Oryctolagus cuniculus: one gene and its partners. The protein of the gene in region 3 purifies or fractionates together with the protein of the main gene of each other region. This does not show direct contact. Links are inferred from orthologs where the notes say so. Each region holds a gene or a part of one and is shown on either strand. Other genes may lie near its edges. The genes, in order: PLEKHJ1, AP2A1, OCRL, SNX9 and RAB1A.

Region 1 (5,705 bases), on a different chromosome or scaffold from region 3:
GCCGCGCGCCTCGCGGGGGTTAAGCCGCGTGCAGACCTTGCTTAGCTAGCAGTGCGTGTGTAAGGTAAGGCTGGAGCCGACCCGGCGCCCTCGCAGCGACCCCGCCGGGCTCTGCAGGAGGGCCGGGGTGGGCGCAGGGAGACCGGGCCCCGGGGCGTGGCCGTGCGGCCCCAGCGGGCAGGCAGTGGACAGGTCGTAGGCAGCCCCCCGAGGCCGGGTGGCAGGCAGCGAGGCAGCCCAGCCTGGGCGCCCGCCGCCGCATCGCTGCTGGGGTCGGCCGGGCCCCCCTCTGCCCTGTGCCAGAGGCGCGCGGCGCTGCCCACGTGGGCTCTGGCTGAGCGGGTGTCCGCGTGGCTCCGGGCCCAGCGCCCGGCACGTGGCGGGCCAGGCAGGCGGCCCGGAGGCGGCGCGGGTGGCAGCCGCAGCGTCCGCTGCCGCGGCCCCGCCCCCAGACGTGGCGCTGGCTCGCACGGGGCAGGAGCCGGGCTGCTGGGGTCGTGCTGGGCTCCAGGCCTCGCCCGGGCCTGGGGTGGCTGTGGCCGGCTGCCGGCGCGCAGGGCGGGGGCCGGGGCTGCTGCCGACGCCGTGCCCGCGCCCGCCGGCTCCGCGCTCACGCCGCCGCCTCCTGTGCCCTCCTGCAGGTAACTAGGACTTCTACCTCAACCGCGACCTATGCAAGGACGGCGTGGACCAAGGACGCCGGCGGCGGGGGGGCGCGGAGGGACGGCGGCCCCGTGCACTGTGCGCAGCGGCCCCGACCGACGGACGCCGCCCGAGCCCTGCGGGGAACAGGATGAGCCGACGCGCGCCGGCCGCCCCTCGGTGCTGACCGCTGCAGCCCCCCTACCAAAGGCTCCCCCTCCCCTCCCCCTCCCCGGGGCTCGGCCGCGGCCCGCAGGGCGCCCGCCCGCGCGACAAGTGCATTACTGTCCCGGGCCCTGGCCCGCCCCCTGCCGGCCGGCGGCAGTATTTTATAGCTGGATGAGATTTGTACGTTCAGAGACGCGACGGCATCTATTTTTAGATTGTATGACGCACAGCGAACTTAGAGTGTACAGGTGTACAGCAGAGCAAGGGGAAATTCTATTTATTCAGTGCACACTGTGGCAGCAGCCCAGGGCCACTGTCCGCGCAGGGACCACTGGCGCGGGGCCTGCTCTGGGGGCAGCGGCGGGCGGGCCGGCCAGGACCCCGCCCGGCCTCCGCCCCTCGGCCCCGCCCCCAGCAATAGTGAAGTCTGAAGATGGTGCTCGGACCCGGTTCACGCCGGCCCACCCCCCTCGGTGCTCTTGGCTCATAGGTGCTGCGCCCCACGCCGGCCGCGGCCGGGGGAGCCGGGGGCCCCCCTCGGTGGACAGTAGCGACGTCACACACGCAGGTCCCCGGTCTAGAACAATGCACGTTCCTGAGACAAACACTGTACCCCCCGCCCGCCCGCCCGCGTGCCCGCGCCCGGCGGGGAGCTGACCGAGCAGCCGCGCCCAGGTCGAGCCGAGCTGCTGGGCGGCGGCTCCGCTCAGGAATCGGTCAGGTCGCCCCCGCCCCCGCCCCCGCCGGCGCTCCCCTCGTCTGCCCAGGACGGCGACTTATTTAACACCCACCCCCGTTATTTATCTCCCGCAGGACCCCGTCCTGCGCCCCCGCCCGGGCTCCGTGGTCGGCTCTGTGCTCACTGTCACGGCCCCCCCGGGGGTCGCTCTGCACTTTGTGGTCCCACCTGCAGCCGCTGTTAATAAAGAGACATTTTCACTTGAACCTGCCCAGTGCTGCTTCCTGGGGGCGGGGCCGCTGGACGCGGGGGTGGGCGCTGCAGGCTCCCGCCCCTCCCCGCAGGAAGTCCACCACCACCGGGATTGGAAAAGGAGGCCCCTTTATTGAGCGCGGGGACCCTGGGGCTCGCCCCGGCCCGTTCACAGCACGGTCTAGCTCCGCTCTACATTCAGCCGGTCCAGGACGGCCGGTGCCGCGGGGAGGGGCCTCGCAGGGCGGGGACCCCCAGAGGGCAGCCCCCGCCTCCGCCAGGAACCCCTCCCACGCAGGCTCGGCCGGGCCGGGGTCAGTCCAGCGCGTCCAGCCCGGGCCCGGGCCCGGTGCCCGCCGGCCGCCCGTCGCTGGGCGGGCTGCTGATCTGGAAGCGGGCCTCCGCGGAGATCCCGAACTGCTCCAGGGGGTCCTAGGGCGGCGGGCGGGGAGACGCGGTGACCCGGGGCCCGGGGCCGGGAGCCCCGCCCGCCCGGCCGCCCCGCACGCGCCCCCCGCACCTTGCCCGTCATCTTCTGGATCTCATTCCGGTAGAAGATGAGGCTCCTCCGCATGACCTCGTAGCTGCGGGAGAGGCCGTGCCCGCGGGGTCAGGCCGCCGCCCCCGCCGCGCCCGCCGCGCCCGCCGCCCCCGTCGCGCCCGCCGCGCCCGCCGCGCCCGCCGCCCCCGCCGCCCCCGCCGCCCCGGCCCCACCTGGCCCTGCGCAGCGCCTCCGTCCACTGCCGGCACTGCTCCTCGCTGCCGCACTCGAACACGTACTTCCTCTCCGGGTCCTCCAGGAAGCCTGCGGGAGCGGCCGCTGTGGGTGCCCGCGCCCGCCCCGCGCCCGCGCCGCCCCGCCCGGCCCGCGCACTCACCGATGGAGAAGCTCCGCGCCTCCTCCTGGGCGACCCGGCAGCGCTCCAGCAAGAGGGCTCCGACGGGCTGCGGGCACACGCGCCGTGAGCGGGGCCGCCCCGCGCCCGCGCGCCCCGCGCCGCGCCCCGCCCCCGCGCCCCGCGCCCCGCGCCCACCTCGGCCTCGTCCGTGCGGAAGTAGAAGAGGAAGTTCACCACCAGCTTCACCAGGCGCCGCTTCAGCACTGCGGGCACACAGCGGGCTCAGGGCGGCCGCGCGCCCCCGCGCCCCCGCGCCCCCGCCCGCGCCCGCGCCCGCTCACCGCTGCCCTTCTTGGGGCCCCGCATGCCCAGCTCAGCCGCCATCTCGGCCGGCTGCCGGGACAGCGCCTGCAGCTCCTTCTCGTTGTAGCGCATGGCGCCGGCGCTGCCCGGGACCGGGAACGCGCGCTGCTAGCTCTGAGCCCTCTCGGCCGCCGTCCCCGCTCGCGCCAGAAAGATCCCAGGTCGGAGCCCCGGAAGCGCCATTGCGCCTGCGCGCCACGGGCGAGTCTTGCGCGCTGCGACCGCGGCGTGCTGGGGCGTGGGTACACGCCGGGCAGCCGCGACACAGCCGCGGAATAAAGTGGGTCTGAGGCGCAAGCAGGATCGAAGGACCGCCGAGCGCGGGCGGACGGGGCGTTACCGGTTCCCGCCCCCGCCCCCAAGAGCCGACGCGGGTGCGCGCGCGGAGCGCGTTGTGCGCAGGCGCGCCTCGGGCACGCGCATGCGCACACTCGAGGGCCCGTCCTCCCTCCGGAAGTGCTGCGAGCGCCCGCGCCGCGCGTGCGCACTGCGACGTCGTGGCGGCGGCTCCTGAGGCGGACGGCGGAGGCCTGCGACGCGGGGCGCGACCCACACGAAGTAGGCGCGGGGGCCATCGGGGCCCCGGGGCGCCCAGGGTGGGCTGGGGGCGCGGGAGGGAGGGGCCGGGGCGGGCGGCGGGCCCCACGGCGACCCCGGCCCTCCGGAACTCCGCGGCGGGCGTCGCGGGGGTCGCGGGGGTCTCGCGTCCGTCCGGGGCGGGCTCCGGGGTCCGGGGAGCGGCCGCGGGCCTTCGGCTGCTCGGCGGGGCGGGCCCGGGCCGCGGGGCCGCGCGCGGGGGTGCGTGCCGGCGTTCCCGCCAAAAGCCGCCGGGACCCCCGAGGCCGCCCCCGCTGGCGCCTTTGTCGTCGTGGGGGTCGGTCGCGGGCGCCCGGGGGGCTGCGGGGCGTCCCGGGTGCGGACGGCGATGCGGCTGCGTCTTAGATTTCCCTCCCGCAAGCCTGCGTGCCCGGGGCCGCGTCTTCCCCTCGGTCCGCTGTCCGACTGTCCCTTCGCGTGGTTCCCCCTCCCCCAGCCCTGAGGTCCTGGGTTCGCGTCCCGATGGAGGGGCTGTGGGGCCGCCAGGGCTCGTGCGTGGACCGCGGGCGGGCCCGGGTCGCCCTGGGGTCAGCCGGGGGCGGCTCGTGCGTGGACCGCGGGCGGGCCCGGTAGCGCCCTGGGGTCAGCCGGGCCGCCCGCGCCGTGCCCGGAAGTCGGGGTCGCAGGGGCGGGGTCTCCTCCCGCCGGTCCAGTCCCCGGAGGCCGGGCCGGGCCGGGCCGGGTCAGAGCAGGTGCGGGGCCCGGGCCGGCAGCCAGGACTCGGGCCAGTGCCCGAATGGGGCCCGAGCGGCCCCTGCCGTCCACGGGGAGGCCCAGCCCTGGCTTAGGGGCATTGGGGAGTGGACGGCGGGGGGGCGCCAGGCGGTCGTCCGCGCCCCCGTTCTCCCCGACGCCCGCGGCTGGGCCCGGCGGCTGACACGGGAGAGCCCGCGTGGGTGCGCCCGGGAGGGGCTGGGGGCTGCCTCCTGGGGTCTCCGGCCCCCGCCGCGTCCTGAGGGCCCCCCCCGGTCTGGGCTCCGCAGGCTTCTCCGGCGCTGAGGTCCGCAGGCCGGCACCATGGACTTCCAGCACCGCCCCGGCGGCAAGACCGGGAGTGGGGGCGTGGCCTCCTCCTCCGAGAGCAACCGGGACCGCCGCGAGCGCCTGCGGCAGCTGGCCCTGGAGACCATCGACATCAACAAGGTAGGGCCGCCCGCCCGCCCCCCCGCGGGGCGCCCCCGACGCCCCCGACGCGCCCGACGCCCCCGACGCCCCTGACGCCCCTGACGCCCCGCGCCGCTCTCCCCCAGGACCCCTACTTCATGAAGAACCACCTGGGCTCCTACGAGTGCAAGCTGTGCCTGACCCTGCACAACAACGAGGTACTGGCCGGCCTGGTACCCTGCCCCCGCCCCTGCCTGCCCCCGCCCCGCCCACCGGCCGGCCTGAACCCCTCGCCCCCGCCCCGCCCACCGGCCGGCCTGGCCCCCCCCCTCCACCGGCCGGCCTGATCCCCCCCCTTCCCGCCCTGTCCACTGGCCGGCCTGGTCCCCCGCTCCTGCCTGCCACCGGCCTGGCCCCGCCCCCAGCCGGCCTGATCCCCCCGCCCCCGGCCTGACCCCCGCCTGCCGCTGCCCCACCCCCCGGCCGGCTTGGTCCCCCCCTCCCGCCCTGTCCACTGTTCGGCCTGGTCCTCCCCCACCCCGCCTGCCGCTACCCCGCCCACCGGCCTGGCCCCGCCCCCGGCCTCATGTCCCGCCTCCTCCACGCAGGGCAGCTACCTCGCACACACTCAAGGGAAGAAGCATCAGACCAACTTGTGAGTGCCCCCCGCGCCCCCCGGCTGTGACACGGGGGAGGGCCCCTTGACCCGCCCCCCAGCCGCAGGGCCCCGCCCCTCACCCCCCCCGCGGGAGCCCAAGGCCGGGCAGGGGGGCTCCTGCACCTGCGCCCGTGGCCTTGGCCTGGTGTGGAGGACCACAGCGCCCGTCTGCCCCGCCCCAGGGCCCGGCGCGCAGCCAAGGAGGCCAAGGAGGCGCCCGCCCAGCCCGCGCCCGAGAAGGTCAAGGTGGAGGTGAAGAAGTTCGTGAAGATCGGACGCCCTGGCTACAAAGGTGAGGGGGCGGGGCCGCCCGACACCAGCCCTGGGCGGGGGGGGGGGGGCAGGCGGGGACAGGCGAGGCCCTGGGCAGGGAGGGGCAGGCGGGGACAGGCGAGGCCGTGGG
Region 2 (5,084 bases), on a different chromosome or scaffold from region 3:
GTCCCCGTTCACCCCGCGCCCTGGGCTGGGTGCTGGGAAGGCACCGCCCATGTCCACTTCCTGTTACGGCGATGTCTGCAGCCGTTGGGACACAGCAGGCAAACCGCAGGTGCTCCCTTACACACTCCTTGAGCCGACAGAGGACACAGGAGCTGGGCCGGCGGCGGGGGGGGGGGGGGCCACTACCAGGGACCTCAGGCTTGCATCTCCTACACTGGTTTCCCAAGGGCTGCCGGGCTGCTGCCAGCAAGTCCGCCTGCTGAGACGAGAGCCGGGGGCAGCCGGCCGCTGAGGCGCCACCCCAGCCCTGGCGCACGTCCCTGCTGGGAGACGCCTCTCTGAGGCTCCCACCTCCCCCACCTGCACCCCTGGGTCCCCAGCACCTCACCCGGCCACCAGGATGCGGGGGATGTCGGCAGCGAAGGCCTCACCCATCTCTCGGCTGCCCACGTTGGCGATGCAGTGCAGGGCCAGGCACATGAAGGTGGGGTTGCGACTGGCCAGGTCATTCTTGATGGCGTTGTTGATGAGCCGGATCAGCTCAGAGTTCGAGTTCACCAGCACGGAGATGAACAGATAACCCTGGGGGAGGGGAGGCAGGCTGCTGGGAGTCCATGGCTAAGTGGTCCCAGACCCAGCCCTCTGATGCTGGAGTCTGCACTTCCAGCCCCTCCCTCAGACCCAGGGGTCCAGGCCTCACGCCTCCTCCTCCCTCAGACCCAGGGGTCCAGCCCAGCCCCTCCTCCCTCAGACCCAGGAGCCCAGGCCTCACGCCTCCTCCTCCCTCAGACCCAGGGGTCCAGCCCCAGCCCTCCTCCCTCAGACCCAGGAGTCCAGCCCCAGCCCTCCTCCCTTAGACCCAGGGGTCCAGCCCCAGCCCTCCTCTCTCAGACCCAGGGGTCCAGCCCCAGCCCCTCCTCCCTCAGACCCAGGAGCCCAGGCCCCAGCCTCTTCCCTCAGACCCAGGGGCCCAGGTCCCCCCGCCCCGCCCCTCACACCAGGGGTCCAGCCCCAGCCTCCTCCCTCAGACCCAGGAGCCCAGGCCCCAGCCCTCTTCCCTCAGACCCAGGGGTCCAGCCCCAGCCCTCTTCCCTCAGACCCAGGGGTCCAGCCCCAGCCTCCTCCCTCAGACCCAGGAGCCCAGGGCCCCCACCCCGCCCCTCACACCAGGGGCCCAGGTCCCCCTGCCTCCTCCCTCAGACCCAGGAGCCCCTGCCCCCCCACGTACTATCTGCTTCTCCGTGTACTTGTTGGAGCTGAGCAGGTTCACGGCCTCCATGTGCCCAAAGTCAATGTCGTGGCCCAGCAGGAAGATGAAGAGCAGCTTGCACACGTACTTTTTCTTGCTGTAGCCATCCAAGGCCTTGTCCCCTGTGGCAGAGCCGGCGGTGAGGAGCCACCACACAGACAGGTCCTGCCCCCCCCGCCCCCAGACCCAGGCATCTGGGCCCCGCCCACCTTTGAACTTGGAGCGAATGTTGGCCAGTTCCTTGTTGATCCTTTTAATCTCCGCCTCCTTGCTCTTGCCTGGGGAGGAGAGAAGGCAGGGCGGGTGGTAGGGGCCCAAGCCCCCACCTCCCCAGGCACGGCCCCCCAGCTGGAAGGCAGCCTCCCAGCCCGGACCCCATCTCCCGCAGGGGCTCACTCATCCACAGCCCAGAGAAGCCGGCCCCCGGCTGGGCTGGCCCCGGCCTCCTCCCACCACGCCCTCCCTGGGAGCTCCCCTGCCGCCGCCAGCCCTGGCCTTGCCCTCAGTGGCCACAATAAACCTGCAGCTGCCGCAGGACCCACCACCCAGGCACCAGGTCAGAGCCCGCTCCCCCTCCTCCTGCCTCCTGGCCTTCAGCCTCCTCCTCCTCCCTGTCCACTGGGCATGCCCCCTCCTGGCGCAGCTCTACGACGCCTCCGTGACCCGTGCGCCCCAGGGCCCGACAACACACTCCGACCACGCGGTGCCTGGTCCTGGCCACCCCCGCTGCGTGCTGTGTCACCCTCCAGCCTGCTAGGTCCGCTCTTGCCACACGTCACTCCGTGGCACACTCAGCTCCTCCAAACGCAGCCGGCGTCCTCGTCCCCCAGCGAAGCCGTCGCCTTGCCCCCCGGCTCTAGCTTCAGGATGCGCCCCCGGCAGCCCCAAGGTGAGCACCCTGCCCACACCACCCAGATCAACCCAGCCGCCCTGCCCTTCCTGGCCCTGTGCACTGGGCTCCCAGGACGCCAGCTGGGGAGACCACCCCCAGCCCACTGAGCCCCCTGGCCCTGCGGCGGGCCCGGCCTCCCCCCCCCACCCTGGGAGTACTCTCGGCTCCTCCCTGCCCGCGCCCTCGCCTGTGCTGAGCCCGCTTCGCGGGGCCACTTTCCCAGTGGTCTTCCCGCAGGGCCCGTCACCTCCTCCAAGAGGCCTGTCCTGCCCACCTCTCTGAGGACAATTCCTTATCATTCCGCTTGGAGAAGTTTTTAAAAGCTCTCCTCCACCCATTTCTTTTTTCATATTTTTGACAAAGATTTATTTATCTATTTGAAAGGCAGAGTTACAGAAAGAGAGATCTTCCATCTGCTGGTTCACTCCCCAAAGGGCCGGGGCTGGGCCAGGAACCTGGAACTCATCTCGGTCTCCCATGTGGGTGCACGGGCCCAAGAACTTGGGACATCTCTGCTTTCCCAGGCCATAGCAGAGAGCTGCATCGGAAGTGGAGCAGCCGGGACTTGAACCGACGCCCACATGGGATGCCAGCTCCGCAGGCAGCAGATTTACCCGCTGCACCACGGCGCCGGCCAGATCGATCCATTCACATTGCGTAATCACTGTCTCTCCCTCTGTCTCGGCTCCCGCCCAGCGCACACATCAGGCAGTAGCTCCTGAAACAGTGCCTGGCATACGGCAGGTGCTCTTTAAACGTCTGGCTATCTAACGGGCAGCGGCCTGCTCTGGCCCACACCTATGCCAATCTCATCCTTTAGCCCACAGCCAGGTGCGGTGTGTACCTCCTGAATGAATGAACGGGCAAGCAGGCACCATCCTGCCTCACCCCCAACTCCCACAAGCCTCACTCCCGGTGTCACCTCCTCCGGGAAGTCCCTGAGCAGGGCTCCGCGGTCCCAGGGAGTCCTGGAGGCACACTGTCAGCCAGGCAGCTCCCGAGGCCTGAGACACGGCTGCTCACGCTGAGAAGGGCTGCAGGCAGCAAGGACAGCGGGCTCTGGAAGGCGGCGTCGGGGACAGACGCAAACGTCGCACTCGGTCTTCAAACACGGGGACCGGCGCTGCGGTGACGGGTTAAACCGCCGCCTGCAGTGCCAGCATCCCACATGGGCACTGGTTCGAGTCCCAGCTACTCCACATCCGATCCAGCTCCCTGCGATGGCCTGGGAAAACAGTAGAGGATGGCCCAAGTCCCTGGGCCCCTGCACTCACGTGGGAGACCCGGAAGAAGCGTCTGGCTCCAGCCCGGCCCAGCTCCAGCCACTGCGGGCATCCGGGGGGTGAACCAGTGGAGAGACAATGGATTAATCTCTCTAACTCAGCCTTTCAAAAAAATAAATACACCTTTAAAATAAGGCAGCTTTCAAATGCCGAGTACACGCACCAGAACTGGGTCACACAAACAACACAAACACACTATTAAAACTACCTCTGCCCGGGGTGGGCATCTGGCCTCGCTCTCGACACCTCCTTCCCACGCTGGCGCCCCTGGGGTCAGGCTGCGCAGACCACGCAGACAGGGCTGACGGCTCCCGGGACTGGGTCCCTGCCGCCCACGTGCAGCCGTGGCCTGACCTCTGGCCCAGGCCTGGCTATCAGCCATCTGGGGAGTGAAGCAGTGGATGGACGCACTCTCTCTCTCTGCCTCTGCCTCTCTACTGTTCAAATAATTACAAATAAATATTTCCGAAGAATCTTTCCTGTTTCTACTTAAAAACCGTGGCTACGGGGGAGGGGAGAATTCATGTTCACGGGTGGCTCTCACAGTATCTCCCACGGGGGCGCTGTGCTGGCCCTACTCGGGGCTCCCACGCCGCCTGTGGCCCACACCAGAGCCGACGTGGCCACGTGGGTCTCCCTGCCTCCCACAGCAGACCCGGAGGCCCGAGGGCAGGGCCAGGCTGCGCCCCTCCTGGGGGAGCAGTCTAGGCACGTAGAAGGGGCTGGAAGGCGGAGGGGACGGCAGGTGCAGCTCTGTCGCCTCAGGGGCCGTCTGAGCCCCGTGTATTAACTGCGTGGTTGCGGGGGCCGCACGGCCAGGCCCAGGGTCTAGGCAAGCCGGGCACTTCTGATCTGCCTCCAAGGACCTGGCCCAGTGAGGGCCAGGCAGCGAGCCCCGGGAGCCCCCCGGCGAGACGTCCAGGGACGGAGGCTGTGAGGCCCTGCCCGGGGCCTGGGGACAGGCAGGACATTTGAGGAGGACCTTGAAAGACGAGAGCACCAGTGCACCGGGGAGGCCAGCACCTGGGGGCAGGGCCGGCGCCAGGGCGGGGACACAGACCCACGCCACCCTGAGCAGGGCCACACAGCTCCTTCAAGGGCTTGCGTGGAAACGCCAGTGGATGACATCGTGACCGCACCGCGGGCCGCGGAGTAGCTACTGGGACAGGGCCGCCCCGGACAGGTATCCGCACAGCAGTTCCAGCAGAGGCCACAGCCCACCTCCCTGGCCTTGACTTCAACCTCTGTGGAGGGGCCGGCGCTGTGGCGTAGCAGGTAAAACCTCCACCTACACTGACGGCATCTCGTATGGGCGCTGGTTTGAGACCCGGCTGCTCCACTTCCGATCCAGCTCTCTGCTGTGGCCTGGGAAGGCAGTAGAAGATGCCCAAGTGTTTGGGCCCCTGCACCCGCGTGGGAGACCCAGAAGAAGCTCCTGGTTTCAGATTGTCCCAGCTCTGGCTGTTGCAGCCATCTGGGGAGTGAACCAGCAGGTGGAAGACCTCTCTCTCTCTCTCTCCTTCTCTCTCTGTGTAACTCTGTCGTTCAATTAAACAAATAAATATTAAACAAATAAATAAATTAGGGACCGGCACTGTGGTGTAGCAGGTAAAGCTGCCACCTGCAGTGCTGGCATCTCAAATGGGTGCCGGGTTGAGTC
Region 3 (5,713 bases):
TGATTCAGTCTTTCTCCACTGACTTGGAATGTCAGATATCCTAAGTTTTGACTTACCATACATGTGTGAGAGTGTGTTTGGAGGCTCTATATTCTGTTCCATTGGTCTATCTCTATACTGTACTATTTTTTAAAAAGATTTATTTATTTATTTGAAAGTCAGAGTTACACAGAGAGGAGAGGTGGAGAGAGAGAGGTCTTCCATCAACTGGTTCACTCCCCAAATGGCCGCAACAGCCGTAGCTGCGCCAATCTGAAGCCAGGAGCCAGGATCTTCCCCCAGGTCTTCCACATGGTTGCAGGGGCCCAAGCACTTGGGCCATCTTCCACTGCTTTCCCAGGCCACAGCAGAGAGCTAGATCAGAAGTGGAGCAGCCGGGCCTCAAACTGATGCCCATATGGGATACCGGCACTGCAGGTGGCGGCTTAACCTGCTACGCCACAGCGCCAGCCCCTATACTGTACTCTTAATTACTGTAGGTTTAAAGTCAGTCTTGATACCTAGTCCATTACAGATTTCTGGAGAAAGTGGGTAACAGGATTGAAACAATACTTTGGGGGACTAGCATTGTGATGCAGTAGGTTAAGCAGCTGCTTGTAATGCCAGCATCCCATATCCAAGAGCTGATTGGAGTCCCAGCAGCTCTGCTTCCAGTCCAGCTTCCTGATACTATGACTTAGAAGATTGTTCAAGTACCTGGGCTCCTGCAACCCATATGGGGGACAGGATGAAGTTCCTGGCTCCTGGCTTTGGCCTGGCCTACATCTAGCTGTTGCAGCCATTTGGGGAGTGAAACAGCAGATGGAAAATAGCTCTTTTTCTGAGTCATTCTGCCTTTCAGATAAATTAGGGAGTCTTTTTCTTAAAAGGAAACATTACTCTGGGAAGAATATTTTTATGACTGTCAGCAAAGTAAAAAGGTCAAAGCAGAGATTAAAGCCAACAGGATTTGTTTAGGGAAAATGCTGTAACCTCAATAGGATATCAGAAGGGCTTACAGTAAGGTGATGCAGTACGAATTGAAAATCAGGAATCTAAAAGTAATTCCAAAGAAAAGGTTAACAAAAATTGTTGACAGATTAGAGACGGATATTAGGAAAGAGAAGAAAGCTATGGCTTTGAGGTTTCAATCCCCGTTAACTATGTGAAATGATGAATTAATCCTGTCACCATGTTCATTATCAGTGAGGTACATCAGGTGAGAGGTTTGGCCAGGGATATACATTTAGACGTTGCTTGCTTAGAAGCCACCTGGAGGAGGTTCAAAGTAGAAGTAAAGGTCAGCATTTTGGGGGATTTTCCAATTTATTTTTTTTTAAGATTATTTATTTGAAAGTCAGAATTACACACAGAGAGAGGAGAGGCAGAGAGAGAGAGAGAGATCTTCCATCCTTTGGTTCACTCCCCAGTTGGCCGCAATGGCCGGAGCTGCAGCGATCCAAAGCCAGGAGAGCCAGGAGCTTCCTCTGGGTCTCCCACATGGGTGCAGGTGCCCAAGGACTTGGGCCATCTTCCACTGCTTTCCGAGGCCATAGCAGAGAGCTGGATTGGAAGTGGAGCAGCCAGGACTATAACCCGCGCCCATATGGGATGCCGGCACTGCAGGCAGTGTCTTTACCGGCTATGCCACAGCACCGTCCCCTGATTTTCCAATTTAAGAGATAGAAGAAGTACAGGCATTGTGGCACATCCGGGATTAAGCTGAAGCTGCAGGCAGGGGCAACGCTAGCCTGCCGGTTCATGTCCAGGCTGCTCCGCTTCTGATACAGCTCCCTGCTAATGAACCTGGAAAGGCAGCTGAGGATGGCCCCTGCCACCCATGTGGGAGACTGGATGGATTTCCAGGGTCCTGGCTTCCGGGACATTTGGGTAGTGAACCAGCGGATGGAGAATTTCTCTGTCTCTCTCTGTAATTATGTCTTTTAAATAAATAGATAGATCTGTTTAAAGGGGGGGGGATAACCAATATGATGCATTGTATCCTGTTAAGGATTTTTTGACTAGAAGATGTGGATCCTATTGGCCCAACACGTTTGAGTTCTTTCATATATATGACAGTGTTTGGCTTATGTGGCAGTCTTCAGAGATCTCAGCACAATTGTAGTGTCACAGAAAACATGTAAAACATCCTTTGCTGGACGTTGGTGGAGACGCCCCCAGTCCGTCGGGTCTGTCGCTGCAGTTCTGCAGGTTGGCCACAGGGGGCGGAATCTGCGGCGGCCTGGAAAGCTGGCGGGGGCGCGAGGCGCCGCTCTCTCTTGGGTCAGGCTCTCCATTCCCGGCTCCCCGCTCCCGGCTCACGACTCCGGGCTCCCGGCTCCTGGCTTCTGGAGCCCGGCGCCGAGCAGTTTCTGAAACGACGCGTAGCCCAGGCGGGTGGGTGTGAGGACGCGGGAGGCAGTGTCGTCGGATCCGCCCGCAATCCACAACCCCGCAGAGCCCAGAGGCCGCCCGAATGGAGCCGCCGCTCCCGGTCGGAGCCCAGCCCCTTGCCGTATCCGCCGAGAGAAGGGGGAAGGGAGGCCGCACAGGGCGGGGGATGGGGGTCTGGGGCACTGCGGAGCACGGGGGAGCGGGAGGATCGCGGGGCCAAGAGGCCGAGCGGAGCGAGGGAGGGGTGGGTGCGGGAGGCTACGCCTAGGGGGGCGGGGGAAGGCGGCCAGCGGGGCAGGAGACTCTCCGCCCTGCACCACGCACCCATCCCCGACTGCGCGTCTACAGGAGACCCTTGACTAGCGCCCGCATACTGTGGAGGGTATGGAGATGAAGGGTCCTCTCCGCGAGCCCTGCGTCCTGACCCTAGCCCAGAGGAATGGGCAGTATGAGTAAGTAACCACCTGATTCTCACGGAGGAGGGGAGCCTGGCTTTGCCTGCCAACCCCAACCTGCGACGAGCCAGCGCCTCTCCTCCCACGCTGGCAACAGGTTCTGGCCTAGGTGTGAAGTGACAGTGCTCCTTAACCATGGGGCTTTGTCCCCAACTTCCAAGCCACTAGACTGTGCCGGGTAGTGTGGCTCGGTGGAGGGAATCACTGGGCAGGCTGCACTGACGTGGGTTGTGTAACCTTGAGCAAACCAATAAAGCTTTTTGGGCCTTAGTTTCCTCATCGGAGGAATAAAAACAAACTGCCTTACCTTTTAGCCTTTACAATGTGTAACTCACATAAGGCATAAGGTAATAACTGGGGGAATGATAAGTGCAAAAGTGCTTTCCAAAATGTAAAAGTGCCATGGAAATGCTTCATTGTTAATGTTACAGACTTGTCTTAACTCCATTCGGCTGGTTCCTCCAGTCTCCCCACCCCCTTATTCCACTTGCTTGAAGGCATATTCATTAATTCAGTTATGGGTTAGGATGGGCCATTAACTGCTGCAGTTAACTGTTGGAAAGAAAAAGTAAGGAAATGTGTAGAAATATAAGTGGGGATTTTAACAGTGTCTGTTACCTTCCACTCTGTCTTAGACACAGGAGCTCAGTAAATACTGCTGACTGATTGATCAAAAGATTATCTTGATAAGCTGTCACCAGAGCTGCCAACCTCACTCCCTTGCCACTGCTTCCTCAGCGTGAGAGTATCCATGGTGACCATTAGGCAACATAGGCTCCCTACCCCATATGCCCACCGGTTTCTTGTTTGTTTTTCTTTTTTTAAAGATTTATTTTATTTTATTTGAAAGTCACAGCCACACAGAGAGAGGGAGAGACAGAGATCTTCCATCTGCTGGTTCACTCCTCAAATGGCCACAGTGGCCAGAACTGGGCCAGGCCAAAGCCAGGAGCTTCTTATAGATCTCCCACCTTGGTAGCAGGAGCCCAGACACTCGTGCCGTCTGCTGCTGCCTTTCCCAGGCCATAGCAGAGAGCTGGATTGGAAGAGGAACAGCAGGGACACAAGCCGATGTCCATATGGGATGCCAGCACTGCAGGCAGTGGCTTTACCCATTATGCCACAGTACTAGTCCTTTTTCACTGGTTTCTTTACATCAGGTTTCTTCCTGGTTTAAAAATTGTTCATCCTTCAGGCAGGCACTGTGGCACAGCTGGATAAGCTGCTGTCTGCAGTGCCGACATCCTGTATGGGCACAGGTTTCAGTCCCAGCTGCTCTACTTGTGATCCAGCTCTCTGCTAATGCACCTGGGAAAGATGGGCCAAGTCCTTGAGCCTATCTCAAATCCTTGAGCCCCTGCACCCACTTGGGTGGCCCAGATGAAACTCCTGGTTCCTGGCTTTGCACTAGCCTGCCTCCAGCCATTGTAGCCATTTGGGGAGTGAACCAGTGGATGGGGGATAGGTAGATATCTCTCTTTCTAACTCTGACTTTCAACTAAATAGATATATCTTTTTAAAAAATTGTTGATCACTTGAATCTAGCCGTCTCTCAACAAAAAAAGAGAGGAAGAAATAGAGCTCCCATCTGCTGGTTCACTCCTCAAATGCCTGCAGTAGCCTGGGCTGGACCAAGGGAAAGCTGGGTACTCAATCCCGGTCTCCCACGTGGGTGGCAGGGACTCAACTGCTTGAGCCATCACCTGCTGCTTCCAACCGTGTGCATCGTCAGTAGGAAGCCAGAAGTCAATGCTGAAACCCAGCCACTCTGATGTGTACACCCCAACCAGCGTCTTAACTTCCAGGCCAAAATCCCACCCCTCCATCCTGTCCCACTTCCATCCTCTGTGTCTCTTGTCCAGATGTCCAAATTGCACAGAAGACATTCCCACAGGCCTAGTCTGCTCTTATTGGAGGTTGCTAGTGCCACTCTAAGTGCATGTCAACAGGTTCTGTGGAGTAGCCCTTCCCTAAGTCCTGATTGGTCAGTTCCATTCATGTGGGAAATTCACACTGTTTTCCCCAGATTTCATCAAACCTTGGAAGACCAGTTTAATGAAACTAAATTCTTCAGGAAGCTGAATTGAAAAGTGGGCTACCACTGCAACTTTCAAAGGGTAGGATCCAGTGGAGAGATGTGACCCTTGAACAAACCTGTGGATTTCTGTGCCTTGGTTTCCTCTTCTGTAAAAACAAAATTTAGAGGGTTGAATACAATAGCTGCATTGTTGAGATGACCACAGCCCAGGATCTGGTCCCTTGGTTAAGCAGATTTGGAGAATGAGGGAGTATGCGTCTGGCCTTGAGATATGTGCCTTATGTTCTCTGGCTCTTGAAGAATTTTTTAACTAGGCAGTAGCAGCTCTCCTGGCTATGTGTATTTGTAGAGAAATCAGATTCTTGTGTGCCAATTCTATATAAGGTATGGGAATATAGTAACAACTGGCAGTTAATGCCTTGATATATGCCAGGTACTGTTCAAAGCGCTTACCATTAATTAGTTCATTTAACTCTCATGTGAGAGTTATTCTCATCACCCAGCTTTTAGAGATATAGAAATTGAGATATAGAGAGATTAAGTCATTTGTTCACAGTTAAGAAGTAGCCGTAACCGATATCCGAAACTATATAACATATAGTTGTGTGTATATATATATATATATAGTTTCTTTTGGAATCATTTCCTGGAGACACCTAATACTGTACACAAGGGCACTTCAAAAAGGTTCTTGGAAATGTGTGTTATGAAAAAGAAATGTGGATTTCAAACTTTTTGCATCAATAAATTTATCTTTTTATTCCATTTTTCCGTAAACTTTTTGAAGTATCCTTACACAGTACAGTCGAAGCTCTACTGCTAATGTTCAGCACAATTTCTGTTCTCC
Region 4 (5,084 bases), on a different chromosome or scaffold from region 3:
TCTAAACAAGATAATGATAGGCATTAATTTATGCTAATTATCTTTAGTATGCCTAAAATACTAACATATACTATCAGTTATTTGGGGACATTTAATGTGTTTAAAAATACTTTCCAAGAGAGTAATAACCCTCTTAGCTTTACGGTTTTAATAAAGAACTTTAATTACAAAGCAAGCAAACAAAAATGAACAAACTTACAATGATGGGAATTTTTTCTTTGGGCTTTGCTAGTTGCTTGGCCAACAAATATTGTTCCATTCCAGGTTTTGCAAATCCAGGAAATCTAATCATGAAGATAAATGCTTGTGAGTCCTTCCTCGTAAGACTCCTACAGCTCTCACCCACAGTTACTGAACAAGCCACTTTTAACCGTGTTTTTTCTTTCAGGTGTACCAGATCTAGGAAACCATGGTAAACAATACCTGATGTAATCAGACGGCTCAAGAGCCAGTCAGTAATTTAATTAGGCATGGTCAGTTGCAAAGGGCAGTTTGACTCCGGAAGGTGCGATATTTATGGGTTCTCAGTGAACTCACCCCACTCAGAGAGAAGGGAGCAGCACCCTTTCCTTGAGAGTCTCTGAATTCACAGGGGCAGTGAGTACTCATCAAACCAACTGGAGTGGCCACATGGGGCGATGGCCACGCATCAGCATTTGTACAAACTAAGGCCGCCTCTCGCCACACTCTGGAAGGCACAATTACCCCAGAGAAGCGGCCACTGTTCGCAAGCATCCCTGCCATTTTCTTTTGGAAGTGCCTTCAGAAACTACTCCGTAGTGAAAAGACCCAAAGCACAGTAAGTAAATCTGACTAGTTCGAGATGCCATCTGATAAGACCCCAAAACATAATAAATAATAAATGTCCATCTCACTCTTTCCTCACGCTTCCTTATTAAGCAGATTTGCAAGGACTACTGAATAAACATTTTAATTGAAGAGAATCTAAGTGGAAACAAAGAGCTGAGCTAAGAGCTGTGCTCTGGAGCCGAGGAGCTGGGATCCCGACAGGAGCACGGCCTGCTGCGTGAGCGCAGGGCTCTCCAGCCGCGCTGGGTTTCTGTGTCCCGCAGCGAAACCGCGAGTCTACAACAGAGGGCGTGTGGGGACACAGGCAGACAACCACTCTGTACGACCCCTCACATGGAAGTGACTGTTACAACGTAAAACGCTGTTAAAGAGTTGTTATTTTTAGTTTCGCTTAGCTTTCTATATATGCTTATGTTTCCCACTACTATCAGAAATGAAACTTCCTATTGACATGGAGTTGATAAAATAAAAAATACAAGTGGCAGATTATTAAATAAAATAATTATTTCAGTTATTAACCTTGTAAACTAAGACTAAGTCGTGCCCCAGAGAGAGAGAGACCGCCGCAGAGGAAGAGCCGGCCCTGGGCCCACCGGGCCCCGCACACGCTTACTTGTTGAGGGGCAGCTTCATGGAAGAGGCACTGGCACGACTGTTTCCTCGCTGGACGCCCCCTGCTTCCGAGGATTCCGAATCCTTAAAGTAAGGGGAAGAGGACTTGGGGTCATCCCAGTCTTCGTCCCAGTCATCATCGTCACCAGTTGCTAGAGGTGGGAACAGAAGTGATCATCATTAAAGAAAAACAAAATGAGAAAAATAAAATGATGGCATTTTCCGAGAGCAGCTCCTGTCTGGGCTGAGGGACCTGCGTTGTGGTGCGGTGGCCTAAGCTACAGCTTGCAACAGATGCCAGCATCTCGGGTCGGATTTGAGTCCTGGCTACTCTGCTGCTGATCCAGCTTCCTGATTCTGTGCCTAGGCAGGCAGTGGATGATGGCCCAAGCACGTGGGCCCCTGCCACCCATGTGGGAATCCAGAATGGAGTTACTGGCTCCTGTTTTCAGCCTGGCCCAGATCTGGCTACTGAGGTCATTTGGGAAGTGAACCAGTGAATGGAAGATTTCTAACTCTGACTTTCAAAAAAATAAACAAATCTTTAAAATACATATTTTTATTTGAAAAGCAGAGAGACAGATCTTCCATCCACTAGTTCACTCCCCAAATGCCTGCAAGAGTCAGGCTGAAACCCAGAGCCAGGAACTCAGGCTGATTCTCTCAGGTGGGTAAGAGCCAGGGACCCGAGCGCCTGAGCCGCCACCTGCTGCCTCTGGGGGTGAACATTAGCAGGAGGCTGGAACGGGAGGCGGAGCCAGGACTTGAATCCAGGCGCTGATTCAGGATGCTGATGTCCAAGCAGCATCTCAACCATCGTGCGAAATACACCCCGTCCTGATGTGACTTTCTGAACTGGTTCTCTTCTGTAAATTTCTGTTCTGTTTGAGGCTTTCTATTAATAGTCTAGGAGTCAAACAGGTCATTTAGGGAAAGATAAAATGGCTAACACAGAGGCCGCAAACCAGCAGGTGACAGACCATATTGCATTAGCTTTCAGCTGAAGGTTTTTGAAAAGCAGTGAGCCAAATCTCTTTTTGAGAGGGAGGAGCCAGGAACTGTATCATGGTCCCCCCAGGGGTGACAGGGATCACCTGGTACCCCCCAGAGTGTGCACTAGCAGAAGCTGAATCAGGAGCAGAGCTGAGACTTGAATCCAGGCACTCCAGTCGGGACACAGGCATCCCAACCTGCGTATTAATTGCTAGCATAAACGCTAACATCTGGTCAAGATTTTGAAACAAATGTGTTAGTTGCTGAGATGTTACAGCAACCGAGATTTCCAGTCTTGGTGATGAGAGCGTTCACTCAGCTTTCTCCCAAACGCAGCGATCTGTGAGCGGGAGGCTGCGCCGACAGGAGGCACTTTCCAGTCTGCTGCAGCCTTGTCTTGCTCTTTTACTTTATGGCTCAATTTGTGACTCCTTGACAGATAACGTGAGATGGAACTAAAGACTGTCATTAGTGACTATCATCGTCTGGATCCAGAAAATCACTACATTTGGATCCTGGTTTGCTGTCAGTGAAAAAGAGCACTTCTGAGCAGTTCTTTAAAATAAAATCTATTTTTAACTCCAATGACCTGGTAAGATACTGTGGTATAACAAGAACTAGTTATTCTGTCTCTGCACCCGGTTCCTGGCAGAGCTCCTAAATCTCCCGTCATCTGCTGAGCCACAGGGGTGGTAGGTGTACTTCCTTTGTTCTAAGGAGGTGGCTCTTGGTGGGCTTCTACACAGGGGCTGCTCGTGCCATGATTAGAAGCTGGGAACTTTCAGCCCCAGCCGCATGCTCCAGGATGAGAAGAGGGACTAGAGAATCAACTAATAACTGGTCATGCCTGTGTCATGGCTCCAGAAAAATCCCACAACTGCAGGAAGCTCCGTGCCCTTCCAGACACCTCACTCCATGCACATCTTTACCTAACGTGCATCTGTATCCTGTGCAGGGCCCTTCATCATACACAGGTAAACCCTGCAAAGTGTCTCCCTGAGCTGTGAGCCACTCCAGCAAACTGATGGAAGCTGAGAAGCCCTGGGATCTAACTGTGAAACCCAGCCCTAACACAAGGCCTTTGCTGTGGGATTCTCAGGCCCAGGGCTCTCAGGTTCCCTCCCTTAAAGTTCTTTGTCCTGCTTCCAAGATGGCAAATCAACCCACTGGATTGGGGGAGGTGCATTAGGTCCAGCCAGCCAGACGGGGTCCCATATCACAAGGATCAAGAGGTCATTCATCGCCTCTACAGATAACTTGATATCAGACTGTCTCGAGGTTATTGTTTCTGTTTTTTTGTTTTGTTTTGTTTTGTTTTAAATAGAACAGGCTCTGAGCAAAAAGTAACACCCACCTGCACATAACCCCCAGCTGCCCATAAGCAAAATGCCCAAAAGAACCCTCTGGCTGCTGTCCTACCCCTGACCACCAGAGGAGGGCCACAAGCACTGCAGACCAATCAGAGACCTGCGCACAGCTGGACACGTATCCCCTGAGCCTAGCTTCTGTCTACTAAAGATTCCTGACCCTAGCCCCTCAAAGAGCCAGAGAATCAGGCCTCGGTTGCCTGTGCCTTGTTCCAGGCTTTGCCAGCAGTGAATGCTGACTTGCTTCCACCGCACTGGGTTAGCGATGGGCTGGCTGCACGGATTCTGCAACAACTCCAGGCAAGTGGCATCAGGACTCAGTCATACTGTGGCTGTGCCCTGGAGAAGTGCACGGTGTGTGGGGTGTGATCACAGAGGTCCTCCGGTTGCACTGTGTATGGAAGGAGTGGAGACAGTTTGGCTTTTCTGTCTCCCATGCCATTTCCTATCAGTCACTATGGCAGGAGCCCCTTCCTTACCTGGTCCTTGGTAGGCCTGGGGGTGGCCAAAGGCAGCGTCCCAGTTGTTGGCAGAATTTCTCTGGGCACCCGCCCCCTCTGGCTTGGCCCCCCAGCCATCTGAGCTCTCCCAGTTCCCAGATTTGGAGGCACCCCAGGATGACCAGGGGTCACTGCCACCGCTGACCTATTGTGGGAGGAAAAGGAGAAAGGATATTTGTGAATTCTCAAAACTATGACTCAATTCAGTAATGAACAACATGACAACTGAATAAAAGGAGTGCTAAAAAATCCAAACAAATTTATCAAAAACAATGTTAAGTAATTTTCCCCTAAATTTGTAGAACAGCACAAAATGTGGCATCATCCTAACTTTACTATTTTGCCCCATCTGCTTGGGAATTTTGCAAAAGGCAGCAAAGAGTATCAGACCCAGCTCCTCCCCCTTCCCCTTCCTCCCCAGAAGTGTATCCATTCCCACGCCTTTTTATGCCTCCATGCAAATATACACATCCACAAATCCCAACTGCTGCATGTTTTTAAAACTGACCTAACCAAGGCTGGCACTGTGATGTAGCAGGTAAAGCCGCGGCCTGGAATACGGGCATCCCATGTGGGTGCCGGCTTGAGTCCTGGCTGCTCCACTTCTGATGCAGCTCTGCTATGGCCTGGGGAAGCAGTGGAAAATGACCCAAGTCCCTGGGCCTCTGCACCCATGTGGGAGACCTGGAAGAAGCTCCAGGCTCCTGGCTTCAGATAGCTTAGCTCCAGCTGCTGTTGTGGCCATTTGGGGACTGAACCAGCAGATGGAAGACCTTTCTCTGCCTCTGCCTCTCTGTAACTC
Region 5 (5,879 bases), on a different chromosome or scaffold from region 3:
CAAACTTTCTACCTTAATGTTAACCGTGGGTAGGTCATTTCTCCCAAACTGGCTTGATAAAGGAAAGCAGTCAAAAGGATGGCTTAAAATTCAACTACTGATGTATTTTTCCCCCTCACCCCTAAAATAAAAACTTAAATATTGTAAAGAACATTCAGAAATATAGCTACCAACAGGTAATCTTATGTCAGCCAATAAACATCTTCCAAATTCAGCAACATCCTACAGCAGATTTTTAGGTTTTTAAAAGGAACAAGATAAATTAGACAACAATCCATAGCAAGCTAAGAAATATCTGGGAGGATACATTAACTAATGAACCATTCTGTAATCCTGGAATAAGGGAAGACATTCATCCATTAAAAGTGTTAATTAAGAGAAAGCATAAGATTTTAAAGTTTAGAACAAGGTGTTAAAGAAAATGTATTCAATAATAAGGAATGCTTTCTTTTTTTGTTTTCCAATTACTCTTACAATGTTAAACTTCGTTAAAGACAAAAAGAGATCAATGAAGTCAGATTGGTAAAAAAAAAATCTGATTATTGGTTGCCCCCGATCTTCCCTAAAATAGCCATCTTTTACTATCACCCTAAGATATTTTCATTAACACTTTTGCAAAGGTTTTCCCAAACTACTGGACTATTTTAATAGACAGTCCAGAATGCAAATACAGTAGGCTAGATATTGGCAAACAAGATGCCAGAAAAAAATATAAAAAGATTTTCTAAGTTTGACTCTGTTGAGATCATTAATCTAAAGTTCTTAAAAGAAAGGATGATCTGGCACTACACTTACTTAAATTCTATAGTCCTTGCCATTTATTGGCCATCCTTCCTTTTTGCCCCTGGAAAAATCCTCCTCGATCCTTTCTGCTCTTCCAAATCTCACTGCTAATAACATCCTTACAGGTTTCTTTTCCAGAGTCTTCCAAAACCCAATGGGCAAGCCAAAGTCACTACATTCCTCTGAAATCCTGTTGCTCCAATCTATACTGCATATTTGGAACTTGCTATATCTACTGACATTTGATATGCATAAAATCTACATTCTAAAAAAAAAAATCTACATTCTATATTCCATTTATAAGTTCCTTGGGGAACTTATAAAACCATAGCACTGTTAAACCCTAGCACTATCAGAATGCCTTACAGGAAAATGATTTCTACCTCCAAAAGAATGTTCTTACCATTTTCCAAATTCGTCTGGAAGTATCTGAATCTCACCACTACATTGGTAAGGATGACTCCTATTTATCCTATTTTACAAAAGGAGAAACAAATTCTGAAGCTGAGTAATTTCTCAAAATCTCATTCAACTAATTAATTTTCAAGGTCTATTTATAGTACTAAACATATGTAGCAAATATAGGAACCTCCCTGAACAGCAGAGGTTTAAAAAATCTCCATATAGTGGCAAATCCAAAAATTCATGTTCTTTACTGCTTCCAGGATAAACACTAATTAGGAACCTTACATCAACTCGGGCTAACCACGTAACACCAACTTTGTCCTCGGAGCCCTTGATAAAGAAAAAATTGCCAACATAGCAAATTTTTCAAGTAAGAAATTCTAGTAAAATCGTATAGCTACTGTTTAGTACGAAAAGATATTTCAGCATCAAACCACAATATTACAAAATTTGAAGTCAGAATGCGTTTTGCAACAGTCATGTGACACACACATGACAGTCAGCTAAACTGAAGAGTTGACTTTTCAGGGGGATATGTCTACCAGTAACTGACCAAAGCAAAAAATAAAAAAACTTTTGGGACAAATACTAATTTTTGCTTTTAGAAATCCTCCTGAAAAGGTTTCCGGCGCTGAAGAATACCAATTAAATTATCAACTTTTCATTAATTTACATATATGTAAACTGTAGGAAGTGTTTTTTCTTAAGGGCCATAAAGAACTCAACTAAACTCTTCCCCAAGGCAAGTGAACACTAGTTCCCAGGAAAAGTGCCAGGTGTGTCACATCTGTTGTGGTGACCTCTTGAGTAAGCAAGGAAAAGAAATGCATTAACTTTTCATGACACGTCATGGAAGCTCATTCCCTATCTACAAGCATTCAAGTAGGTAATCCAAAACCTACACGATCTACCATAGGTCCCACTCGTTTCTCTTTCAACTTGACAGTAGTCCTTGTCCAATTCGGTAGTACCCTTGGTTTTAGTTCTGTTTTTTTTTTTTCTCCCTCCCTTGACCTATAGAAGACAAAATGACTTAGGTGTCCTCTAACAACAAATTCTCCCAAATGTCCAGGGCTTTGGGAGGGCGATGGACCAGGCAAGTTCTTAAAGAACTCCTCCAGGAGATAACTCCAAACGAGAACTAAGCATTTTAAATCGCTGCTCACCATCTCTCCGCTCCTTGCCCTCAATCCCACGCAGTCCCGAGAAGCATCCATATTACCTGCAACCTGGCGGGGAGGGTGGCACGACAGGGAACCAGCAAGCTCAGGCTTTACAAGTAAAGCTGGTTTCCAACCCGGCGATCCTGACAGCTCCGCAGAGCGCGGGCGCGGGGTCTGACAGTGCCCTCTGGGGGAGCTCTCCCACCCTTCTCCTCCCCTTAAAAACAAATGCCCCTTCCAAAGTTACTGCCCCCGGAGGAAGCTGACCCTTCAGGCCGCTCCGCCACCGGACTGCCCAACGCCCCAAGGCCCTCCGCAGCGGCCCGGCACTCAGGCCCTGAGGCGGACCCGGCCGAGGCCCGGGCCGCTCACCTCTCCGGCCGACCCCTCCCCCCGGCCGCCCCTCCGCCGTCAGACAATGGGGCCCGACTCCCGGCCTCAAGCCTCTAAGGCCCCGTCACCCTTGCCTCCCTCGGGCCAATGCCCGCGCCCCTGCCCCAGCCCTCCTCGCCCCGCTTAAGCTTCCCAAGCTGGCCCACCGACCCAGCCGACCGGTGTTCTCCTGCACTCACTATTCGGGATTCATGCTGGACATGTCACTGCAGCTGCCGCCGCCGCCACCGCCGCCCTTGCTGCCGCAGCCGCCGCCCTGACTCTCCGCGCCACGGGTAATCGAAGGAAAGGAATGAGATGGGCTGTTCCGGGAGAGCAAACGTCTTCCCCCGCTCCGTCCCCTTAGAACACAATCAGCAGCCGCCGCCACTCAGCTATCGCTTCCACCCAAAATGGCCGCCGGCGAACCAGGAAATAGGGAAGCCTCGGACCAAGGGGTCTTTACACGGCCCGGAGGGCGGCCTCGGCGCGTGGCATGCCGGGAAGGAGAGTCGCGAGCGCAGCTACACGCGCAGAAGACCGACGGTGCGGCAAGGCGGCCGGGACTCCGCTTCCCGCCAAGCCCCGCGACTCTGGTGCATGCGTACTTGTGCGGTTGTCGCCCGCTCCATTCCCCACTCCCTCACCCCCCACCCTCCGCCCCTCCCTGCTCCCCTCCCCGTTGACTCGCTGGCTAGGACTTCGCTCGGACTCCCCCTAGCGGATTGGCTAAGGCCGAGAGGCCCCGGTGATGTCACCAGTGAGACGTGGCAGCCGGGCGAGTCAGCGCCCCACGGGGGAGGGGGTGGGAAGAGGCAGAGGGCGGTACCGGCCGGGGCGGAGGATGGGGGTCACGGTGGGACCGCGGGGCGGGAGGGGTCTGGCCTGGTGGGACGGCCCGAGCGTGGGGGAAGGGGCGCGCGCCTGGCGGCCCCTGAGCCCCGCGCGGTTCTCGCAGGCCCGACGGGCTTGAGGCCTGCCCTTCGCCGCTGGTCCGAGGACGTAGGCTCAGAGGGCGGCGGGAAAGTCGGGGGCCTCTGCCGAGGACTTCCGGCGCCCTGGACTGCGCGCAGCCCTCTTCACTCACCCGACCCCACCCGGGTTCGGTCACTACCGTTTTCTTTTTGATTTTTACAGTCCTGGCCCAGCCCCACTCTTGTCATGTCACCTCAGCCTGGACATTTCAGTTGCCTGCAAGTGGACTATGCCCCAGCCCATTCGCACACAGCGCTTCCACCGTGACCCCACAACCTTCAAGGGCTCCACAGCCAGGGGTGGGACACAGCCCAGGCATGGCCTAAGAGTTGAGTCTACCTGCTCTCGGCCCAGCCTTCAGGCTGAATTGTTCTGCCTCTTTAAAAGTTGCCACTTAATTCTGAGCAAGATTGGAAAGTAATAAGCGATAAAAACGTACAATTCATCACTATATAGTGCCCACAGACTCCAGGAGTAATACTAACACATAAAAAAAAAAAAAAAAAACAACCTTATGGGCTTACCAGCTCTCTTTAATCAGCTCAGGAATTTAAATCTCCACTAAACTTTAACACATTATCTTGCTTGGGTTATTTAATTACAAAGGGCATAGTATAACACATTGTCCAAAGTTTATCTTCCAACTGGTTCTAAGAACCAAGAAAATTATCTCCTGAGACTTTAAGTGATTGCAAAATCACTTAAAACTCCTATGGCACCAAAATATGGGAAGAAAGTAATTCTTCACTTCTACCCATGTACCAACTACACTCCTAACCCCCAAATCCCACCATGCACCTTAGTTGATAGCCTCATCAAACAGTCAGCTAGAGTTCCTGTATATGATGTTGATTTCTGAATTGAACATGGTCACCACTCCAGGAAAAGGACCCTGAATGGATTAAAGAATGTTTCTTACCCTGGACTCTAAAATCCTAGACCCTTCCTGCTTACTGTGATTTCACTGAGTAAAAACACAAATGTGCACAAGCACTCATACTGAGCTAAAAATTCAACCTTTCATCTATTCCAGAGATACACTATTTCCCCACTTTCTGTAACTATTTCCTAATCCAACAAAGAATTACCTCCTAAGTTTTAACCCAAGTGAGAGGATACTATGTGAATTAAATTAAAAAATGTAAAGCATGTGGTACAATGACTTTGGAGTACCTGGTAAACGTTAATAACTTTCTGGAACAGGCATTTGGTACAATGTTTGAGTTGCACATGTCTCACATTGAAGTACCTGGTACAAGTCCCAGCTCCGCTTCCCATTCCAGCTGCCTGCAATATCATGCTTTGAAAAAATTTTACAGTGCCAGCACTGTGGCGCAGTGGGTTAAAGCCCCAACCTACAGCGCCAGCGTCCCATATGGGCGCTGGTTGAGTCTGGCTGCTCCTCTTCCGATCCAGCTCTCTGCTATGGCCTGGGAAAGCAGTAGAAGGTGGCCCACATCCTTGGGCCCCTGCACCCATGTGGGAGACCTTGAGGAAGCTCCTGGCTCCTGGCCAGGATCAGCTCAGCTCTGGACGTTGTGGTCATTTAGGGAGTGAACCAGCAGAATGGAAGATCTCTCTCTCTCTCTCTCTCTCTCTCTCTCTCTGGCTCTGGCTCTGGCTCTACCTTTCTCTGTAACTCTGTCTTTCAAAGAAATAAAAAATAATTCTTTTAAAAAAAATTTTACTGGCCTTCGCTGTGGCATAGCTGGTAAACACCGCCTGTGGTGCTGACATCCCATATGGATGCTGGTTTGAGACCCAGCTGCCTCACTTCCAATCCAGCTCTCTGCTGTGGCCTGAGAAAGCAGTAGAAGATGGCCCAAGTCCTTGGGCCCCTGCACCCATGTGGGAGACCCAGAGAAGGCTCCTGGCTTCTGGTTTTGGATTGGGGCAGCTCTGGCCATTGCAGCCAACTGGAGATTGAACCATTGGATGGGAGACCTCTCTCTCTCTCTCTGTGCCTCTCCTTCTCTCTCTGTGTAACTCTGCCTTTCAAATAAATGGATAAATCTTTTTTAAAAATTTACTGACTCAAATTTTAATATACTTCATATTTAGGCATATAGGAGCCTGTACTTTTTTTTTTTTTGACAGGCAGAGTGGATAGTGAGTGAGAGAGACAGAGAGAAAGGTCTTCCTTTGCCGTTGGTTCACCCTCCAATGGCCGCCACGGTGGTG

The links.
Region 1: the proteins of OCRL (region 3) and PLEKHJ1 purify together in Homo sapiens (co-immunoprecipitation; 3 studies listed by BioGRID and IntAct, counting the BioPlex papers as one, with this or other methods). This does not show direct contact. The link is inferred for Oryctolagus cuniculus from reciprocal best matches to the Homo sapiens genes OCRL and PLEKHJ1.
Region 2: the proteins of OCRL (region 3) and AP2A1 purify together in Homo sapiens (affinity purification with mass spectrometry; 3 studies listed by BioGRID and IntAct, counting the BioPlex papers as one, with this or other methods). This does not show direct contact. The link is inferred for Oryctolagus cuniculus from reciprocal best matches to the Homo sapiens genes OCRL and AP2A1.
Region 4: the proteins of OCRL (region 3) and SNX9 purify together in Homo sapiens (co-immunoprecipitation; 3 studies listed by BioGRID and IntAct, with this or other methods). This does not show direct contact. The link is inferred for Oryctolagus cuniculus from reciprocal best matches to the Homo sapiens genes OCRL and SNX9.
Region 5: the proteins of OCRL (region 3) and RAB1A purify together in Homo sapiens (co-immunoprecipitation; 3 studies listed by BioGRID and IntAct, with this or other methods). This does not show direct contact. The link is inferred for Oryctolagus cuniculus from reciprocal best matches to the Homo sapiens genes OCRL and RAB1A.

What each region holds. Positions count from the first base shown.
Region 1 is NC_091447.1:59,108,233-59,113,937, forward strand, and holds PLEKHJ1 (pleckstrin homology domain-containing family J member 1), read right to left. Parts: upstream 3,299-5,705; 5' UTR 3,016-3,298; coding exon 2,922-3,015; intron 2,844-2,921; coding exon 2,776-2,843; intron 2,687-2,775; coding exon 2,620-2,686; intron 2,547-2,619; coding exon 2,456-2,546; intron 2,326-2,455; coding exon 2,262-2,325; intron 2,174-2,261; coding exon 2,057-2,173; 3' UTR 1,062-2,056; downstream 1-1,061. Other genes in the region: DOT1L (histone-lysine N-methyltransferase, H3 lysine-79 specific), read left to right, coding at 1-45; SF3A2 (splicing factor 3A subunit 2), read left to right, coding at 4,558-4,683, 4,791-4,862, 5,253-5,299, 5,485-5,594.
Region 2 is NC_091449.1:7,764,574-7,769,657, forward strand, and holds part of AP2A1 (AP-2 complex subunit alpha-1), read right to left. Parts: intron 1,528-5,084; coding exon 1,459-1,527; intron 1,372-1,458; coding exon 1,229-1,371; intron 583-1,228; coding exon 389-582; intron 1-388.
Region 3 is NC_091453.1:107,239,459-107,245,171, forward strand, and holds the start of OCRL (inositol polyphosphate 5-phosphatase OCRL), read left to right. Parts: upstream 1-2,221; 5' UTR 2,222-2,455; coding exon 2,456-2,494; intron 2,495-2,745; coding exon 2,746-2,825; intron 2,826-5,713. UniProt on the Homo sapiens protein: Catalyzes the hydrolysis of the 5-position phosphate of phosphatidylinositol 4,5-bisphosphate (PtdIns(4,5)P2) and phosphatidylinositol-3,4,5-bisphosphate (PtdIns(3,4,5)P3), with the greatest catalytic activity towards PtdIns(4,5)P2.
Region 4 is NC_091436.1:9,792,425-9,797,508, forward strand, and holds part of SNX9 (sorting nexin-9), read right to left. Parts: intron 4,428-5,084; coding exon 4,262-4,427; intron 1,575-4,261; coding exon 1,424-1,574; intron 285-1,423; coding exon 200-284; intron 1-199. UniProt on the Homo sapiens protein: Involved in endocytosis and intracellular vesicle trafficking, both during interphase and at the end of mitosis. Required for efficient progress through mitosis and cytokinesis. Required for normal formation of the cleavage furrow at the end of mitosis.
Region 5 is NC_091433.1:137,616,270-137,622,148, reverse strand, and holds the start of RAB1A (ras-related protein Rab-1A), read right to left. Parts: upstream 3,373-5,879; 5' UTR 2,947-3,372; coding exon 2,924-2,946; intron 1,234-2,923; exon of another isoform or gene 1,110-1,233; intron 1-1,109. UniProt on the Homo sapiens protein: The small GTPases Rab are key regulators of intracellular membrane trafficking, from the formation of transport vesicles to their fusion with membranes.